2 linked regions of the Arabidopsis thaliana genome follow. The protein of the gene in region 2 interacts with the protein of the main gene of each other region in a pairwise test. Each region holds a gene or a part of one and is shown on either strand. Other genes may lie near its edges.

The links.
Region 1: the proteins of AGL43 (region 2) and AGL99 interact in a two-hybrid assay, tested with the Arabidopsis thaliana proteins (one large-scale study listed by BioGRID).

What each region holds. Positions count from the first base shown.
Region 1 is NC_003076.8:1,330,759-1,334,686, reverse strand, and holds AGL99 (AGAMOUS-like 99), read right to left. Parts: upstream 1,929-3,928; 5' UTR 1,863-1,928; coding exon 894-1,862; 3' UTR 765-893; downstream 1-764. Other genes in the region: CYP77A9 (cytochrome P450, family 77, subfamily A, polypeptide 9), read right to left, coding at 2,580-3,928.
Region 2 is NC_003076.8:16,077,635-16,081,437, forward strand, and holds AGL43 (AGAMOUS-like 43), read right to left. Parts: upstream 1,731-3,803; coding exon 756-1,730; downstream 1-755. Other genes in the region: UMAMIT37 (nodulin MtN21 /EamA-like transporter family protein), read right to left, coding at 2,180-2,333, 2,561-2,712, 2,787-2,945, 3,023-3,272, 3,553-3,666, 3,749-3,803.

The sequences.
Region 1 (3,928 bases), about 15 Mb from region 2:
AAAGATTGAGCTTTAAAAGAGGGGCCAAGCCTGCGGCCTATTAACTGCTTCTACCAATCCTTTTTCTTGGCAAGCAAAAAAAAACTCTCATGACTTTGTGACTTGACATGCTTTCAATAGACCAAAGCAAAACTCTTAGCTTTGCATCCTCTACACTTCTTATACTAAATATCGCCCGGCGACTGTGAAGTAAAACCACCCAACTCATTTCTTAACACCCAAGCTCCCCCTACATTGCATTTGAACCAATTACAAGGTGTTTTTTCCCAAACTTTCCCCGCCATATAAACACTTCTCTGCATCACGTTTTGAATGGAATCAATTAGCACCGGTTCTTCTGCAATTTGTTATGGAGCCATTCTGCTCTATTTTGGTAAAGCTTTATCTGTTTTCAAGTTATGAAGTAATCACAAAATACTGGCCTAGATGATGACTGGTTTTGGTACTTAATAAGAAAGCAGAGACATTCCTAATCAAAGATTGTCAGACAGATGTTTTCTGTTGTAAGACTCAATATTGGTTTTAATATTATTTGTTGGTTAGATTAGAAAACATCCCACAGTTAAACAAGACACAAGTTGATACAAGAAAAAAAGAGTAGTAAGACTCATTGGTTTTAAACTTTTAATATAAGAAGAAAACATCACACATATAAAACAAGACAAGTTGATAGAAAAGACTACAAAACTTAAAAGAAAAAAGGATGGTTTCTTCATTAGTTAAGGCAAACCAAAACTGAACCGGTTTGAGTTAGATCAACATCCCAGAAATCCAATGAAGCATGGAAAATTGATTGAAGTCAAACCGGAACCTTCCTTGAGTAAAGTATCTCTAACGAAAATAAACCGAAGCAATCCTTGAAACATCTGTTATCTTGGAGGGAGTTTCAAATATCAGCAATGTAAGTCACTGAAATAATCAGAAAAGCAGAGATTATCCTCCGGTAAATCTTTTTGAATCATTAATCCTCCATCTTCAACAGCTTCAGGATTTGAGCACAGATTTTGCTTTGTAGTCACCATCGAGGCATAATCCTCCATCTCACAACTCTTCAAAAGGCTTTCATAGTTTGTCTCAAAATCAAGTAGCTGATCAAGATCTAGCTCTTGATCGAATTCATCCAAGTTTTCAGGTAAAACATTGTTCTTGTCAGAAATCATTAGCATCGTATCCTTGTCGTCCATATCAGACACGTGGATATTGTCCTCATCCATATTTTTGTGAACAACCAATTCTCTATCTTCAACAGTTTCAGAAGCAGAGACGGGGTTTTGATTCGTGGTCACCACAGAGACATCGTCCATGTCCAAGTTCATCGATAGAGCTTCAGCTGTTGACACATAATCAAATATTTCATCAAGATCAAATTCTTCAGTGTTCTTGTTAAACCCATCGAAATTCACAGAACATGATTCAGGATTAAAGGTTTGCTTTTGATGAGTTCCGTGTAAAACACCCTTCTTCTTCACGTCCTCCTCACAATCTCGTTGATTCTGCAAATCCTTCAGATCTTTCAACATCTTCGACATCGAGTCCATTGCGTCTCTCAGTTCCTCCAGGTCCTCTGATTTTGAAAGCCTCTCATCTTCCCACCAATAGTCTAACCCTAGACCTTCCCGAGGACGCTGATTCGTGAGGAAAGCGGCTACAACGTTATCAACAGAGGAATGGCCAAAGGTGTAGAAAGAAACGTTTGATTTGGAAGAGACCGGAGTGGCTATGATCGCAATTTGTGCATCGGAGAGAAGACAAAGATCAGAGGCTTTGCTATATAGACCCCTACTGCGTTTTGAGAAAGCAACAGCTCTTGAATCTTTCTTCTCTATCAGCTCTATAGAAATCTTTCTCTTCACGCCCCCCATTCTGTGTTCACGATTTCACAGACAAAGAAAGAGAAGGAGAAAAAGACAGAGAGATTTTTGTGTTAGCCTGTTGCGAAAGAATATGATATGGCTACTCTCTGTTTCTAATCGTGTATATATAGACTCTGTGTTGTTACTCGTTTCTAATCAATCGACTATATTTCCTTTTTCTGACAATTAGCTAATCAGTGATTAAACGAACTAAGTATAATTATTTTCCTTTTTTGAAAGTAATGACTCTTAAACCGCCTGAGACGAACCAAACTAAGTACAATCGATTTCCTTTTTTGAAAACTTAACTCGAAAAGCACCTGAAACTAACCATGGCTGGTTCAGTTAAACCATCGATTCTATTTCCTTTTCGTGATAATCTACTAATCACTAATTAATCCAATAAGTATATGTTTCCTTTTCCTTTGTCAAAGAAATTTCCTTTTCTGAAAGAGTGATTTAATCGAAAATTTGGTTCAGTAATAAACAGTTATTTGGTTTAGTCAAACCATCTAAATTATTAGTTTATACTAGCTTAATTTGAAGACATGCAATAATGCAAACCAACTAAAACAAACGTAAATCGAATATGCATGGCTCTATTTAGTAATTGAAGAGTAGGAAAACATTTAATTAAACCAAAGCAAATTAGACAAAATGCGAATTTTCTCTCTTGAACCGGGTTTGGTCAAGTTAAAAGAATCAAAGACGTGGAATCAACGAAACTTAAACCCTAGCTTTAACCCTCGCTCTCAACGGATTCTTCATCACCACCGCGAACACCAATTTGCCGGTGAAATCCACTTGGCTCTCCGGCGGGTACGAGCTCCACTCAAACTCTTGAACCATCCTCGACAGCATTAGCTCCACGTGTACGACCGCCATTCCAAGCCCCGGACAAATCCGACGGCCAATTCCGAACGGCATCATTTTAACTCCGGCGACTCCGGTTAAATCGGCGTCTTCTCCACCTGTTATAAACCGGTCCGGATCAAATTTCTCCGGTTTAGACCATATCTTCGGGTCTTCACTTATACCGGGAAGATAAAACTCAACATTAGCCCCGACGGGAATATCGTAACCCGCGAGATTAGTCGGCTCCGTAACGCCGTGAGTTAACGTGAAATACGTCGGTGGATGTCTCCGGAGAAGCTCCTTAACAAAAGCTTGTAAAAAGACCATTTTATTCAAATCTTTCTCCTCAACCGTTCGATCATCTCCCACCGTTGATTTAATCTCATCGTACAGCCGAGATTGAATCTTCGGATTCGATATCAGCTCCGCGATTCCCCACTCTATCGCCGTCCCCGTCGTATCCGTACCGGCGTTGAGAAACTCTGAACACAGCGTCACGAGATCTTCATCTGACGGTGACGTTTCACGACCATCAACTCTGAGATCGAATAAAGTATCAAGATACGCGAAAGACGACGCCGTTTTATCGGAGCCGAGATTTCGAATCGCTAATCGTCGTTTCTCGATGAATCCAACGACGAATTGGACAAGTTTCCGGCGAAGTTCCAGAGAATTTTTCCTCTCCTTGAAGTAAAACGGAGTTAGAATCGGAAGATAGTCGTGAATTCGTGGATCAACGGCGGTTAAAATCTCCGTCATCATCTGATCCATCTTCTCAATCGATTCTTCTTCCATTTTAACTCCGAAACACATATCTAACAAGATACAAAAAGCAGCGAATCTAGCGTTTCTTAGAACCCAGACGAGCCCGTCGTTTTCCTTAGCTTCAGATTTGATCTTCTCCACGAGCTTATCAATGGCGGATTTTCTAATTGAACCAAATTCCTTTAACCGGTTAGAGCAGAGCATGTTTTGAACCATGTTCCGTCTCAGTGATCGCCACACGGGACCGTACATAGCGGAATGAACGGTGATATCGCTAGAACTGAAGATTTTCCGGGTCGGAGTTTCGGCGGGTCGGGTTGCGAATTGGGCTCCACGTTCGATCAAGGCTTGGTGTGCGAGATTAGCGTCGGAGATGATGATCATCGTTCGAATTCCCATCTTAAGTGTGAAAATTGGGCCGTAGATGTTTCTCATCTCATCGACATATTCGAAAA
Region 2 (3,803 bases):
AAAAAAATTGATAGTCACAAAAAATCCTCATATCCATCAGAAGTTTCTCGGGAAAGAATGATAGGCTAACATGTTGATATCACCGCAAGGTTGTACTAGTACAACCACAATTAGTGGCATGAGAATGTTTCTGCATTTTGGTATTGTTTCATATTTGACAGTTACTGTCTGTGTTCTGATATTGTTTCATATTTGATTGTTACTGTTTCAGAAACATATATTTTGTATGGTTAACGTGGAACCACTCGGTTGTTCATTTTCTACAAACAGAGAGGAAAGAAACAAGGTGGAACCTGAAGAAGACGGCAAGTATGAAGGTGGAAGATGGTGTGAGGTTGCTGATAGCAGAGGTAAGAGTTGGGGAACTATATTCAATAGCTTTACAACCAGCTACCTGTATGGAAAGTGAAAGTGCATGTACTGCTTCATACTATCCAACTAATAACCATAAAAAAGCTGGAGATAATTCAGATTATTATAACATATAACTGGTGTTTCCCAATGGAACACATATGCTTAGTTCTACTTATACAACTAACACACACATACACAGTTATTGCTCTGTTGAGAGTCTCTATTGGAAATTTGAGTTTATTATGCATAAGAGAGAAATCAGAAATAGATCATAAGACTGGCTTTTAGTAATTAATGTTTCTAGGGATGATGATTCAAAATTTATTACAATATTAGCTGAATACAGAACAACAACACACCTAAGAACAAGACATTAGACACACAGAATTAATCATAAGAAATTAACAAAAGTCTGCATAACCGTAACCATAAAGTTCATTCTGCATCAACTGATTCAACCAGGGGTTATTCACAGATTCTTCTACCGCCGAGTAATGTTGTGTGCTTGAGACGCAAGGATGTTCACAGCTGTTGCTATTGATGTTACCCACAGACATGTTATGATCACAACCATAAAACTCCTTGTGCATCAACCCAAAGTTGTTCACAGATTCTTGTACTGAGACGCAAGGAAGTTGAAAATTGTTGTTGGTGATGTTACCCATCCACATGTTCTGATTCTGATCATTACCACAAATCTCCTGCTTCATTAACTGATTCTTCAACTCAGATTGTTCAAGTAACGCTGAGAAATAATCCTGATTGAAATTTGATGCAGAGACTGGGATCTGAGACAGAGTATTGTCTCCATGATTATACATAAACAGCGAGAACTGGCTAGGGTTCAAAGATTGGGTCTGATGATTCAGAGAGGATGATGCTAAACTGTGGTGATCCGGTTGTGTCTCATTCTGTTTCCGCGACTCAAGAAATTCAAGCCTTTCGTGGAATTTAGAGACATGGAGTTCCAAGGACTGAATCAGTGGAGAAACTTGGTCGGGAGGGTAATGATCAGCGAGTGGATACTTTAAAACATTCACCTTCTTAAGACTCGTCTTCCTCTTCTTGTCCGTATTCTTCAAACCCTTGTTCTTCTTCTTCTTGTTCAGGAACCCATGAAGATTAACGCTTTTCTTGCGTCTCAATGCTTCGTTTAATTGACTATACCTAAGAGCAATGTCTCTCACTTTCTCTCGCTCCGGAGGCCATGTCTTGAGTTCTCCGTCTGGTCCGTAATAGATGACGCAGGCTTCAATATCACAGAGAGTGCAAAGCTCTGAAGCTTTCTTGAAGATGGTCTCAAGTCTGTTGCTCAAACTTGTTGAAGCGAGTGAATAAGCGGAAGAGGAAGAAGGTAAAGATGATCGCATAGTCATTATTGTTGATTTCGAAGACAAACTTTCTGTTTCAGAGTGAAGAGAAAACACGAAGACAAACTTTGGCGGCTTTGTGAAAAAGATGAAGAAAGTGAGAAGGAAACTGTGTGAATTAGAGATATATTTTGATCACTAGGGTTTGAAAAAATATTTATCACTCTCGCTGATCGGTGAAAAAACGCGTAAAGATATGTGTGTGTGCGCTTTTTTAGATTCGATTTCCATATATTTGCATAGATTTTGCGTTTAGAGCCGTTAAGGGTTGTTGATAAAATGGAAATATAAGAGAAGGTTTCCTAACTGGCAATATCAGTCGTCTTACATTAATTAAAAATCCTTAACTTGAAATAGTACAAGAAAGAAAAACATACAAAATTACCATATGTACAATGTAGTGTAGCTATACGTAAACATCAATGGGGACCATCTCTTAACAGATTCCACTTGCATCAGTCACAGCTTAATGAGGCTTCTTCTTCTATGGTGTGTGAAGGCAACAAAGGGGACTGCTCAGTACCAGCCACAGTTTTGATTGAATCCTCTCTTGCTTTTCCCCAAATCACAGTGTAGAATCCTAAGCTCAAAATCAATGATCCAATGACACTACACACAATATATATGCCGGATAATTAGTACTGTCTCGAAAGAAATATTTAGAAACTATATATGGCGGCTAAGTGTGACTTGTGACGAATTAAAACCAGAAACCATATAACTCTCAATGTAATTCCATGGATAGATACATGGCACTAAAGCTGAATGTTATGGCACCTAGATATTAGATAATATGTTGTGTGTGATATTTATGAAGATTGTGAAAGATAAAGTACCTCCCAAGGTAAAGTGCATCGCCGAGGAACATAACACCCATAGCGACCGCAATGACAATAGACAACGGCTTGAACAAGGATATGTAGACTGGACCCTTAAGATGCAGACCCCAAGTGTGTATAACTGAGCCAAATGATGAAACTAAGCCTCCCTGAAACAGAGTGTTAGTTTCTGAGCTTAAAATATAATCATTACTTGAAGCAACATATTAGGATTGATTCTCACCGAGTACATGACTGAAGCAAGGGAGACACCCGGTTTAAGTATAAAAGAATTCAAGTCTTTTTCCGCAAATAGACATACTGGTGCCGAGATAAGCGTAGCGCATAAGTTATACAAGAATACTACAGTTATTTCTTCAGGGTATAACTCCATGACCCGAGTCTGAAATCATATAGAGCTACCACATTTAGCAAGAGTTATATAAGTGTCACCAACATATCCAATGTCCTTTTTCATACCTGAAGAATATACCAGACTGAAACAAGCAAATACTGTGTAGCGAGCAAAAGACCTCCGATTATCCAACTCGAATCAAATGAAGTCAAATGCTGGTAAAGCGAAATGGTAGGTGATGGAGGTGTAAGAGATGCATCAGTTAGAACTTTAGGGCCTTTATAAAGAATAACAACCAAAGCACCAGATATAGATACTATCGTGCCAATGATTTTGGCCTGAGTCGCGGAGCTCCTTAAGACTATTTGTTCCATTCTTTTGAGTCACACAAGGAAGCAGTAACAACAAGAGTTAAATGTTCAGCTGATAGAAACAAACACCCCTCTAGTTTACCCATATTTCTCTCTGTCTCTTAGAACAACATGTGGGCACAACATTTTTTATGCAACCACAAGGTTGTACTTGTACTAGTGGCTGTGACAAAAGCAAAAGGCTTAAAACTTTGAACGGTTAAATAAGTGTGGAACTACCGCATTGTTAACTAAATTATCTATATACTATCCCAGAACGGAAACGAAAGAAAAAGAGGTGGAACCTGAAGATAACGGCGAGCGTAAATGTGAAAGCTGGTGTCAGATTGCTGATAGCAGAGGCAAGAGTTGGTGAACTATATTCTATACCTTTACAACCAACTATCAGAGACATGAACCTGTTTCCCAAAAGTTAGCAAACTAGAAAAGAAAAACAGGTAAATGAGGCTAAATCTGGTAGTATAAGGAGTATATCATTACCCAACAAGCGCAAGTAAGAAAATATTGAAGAAGACAGGGGTCTTGGCAGAAGGTA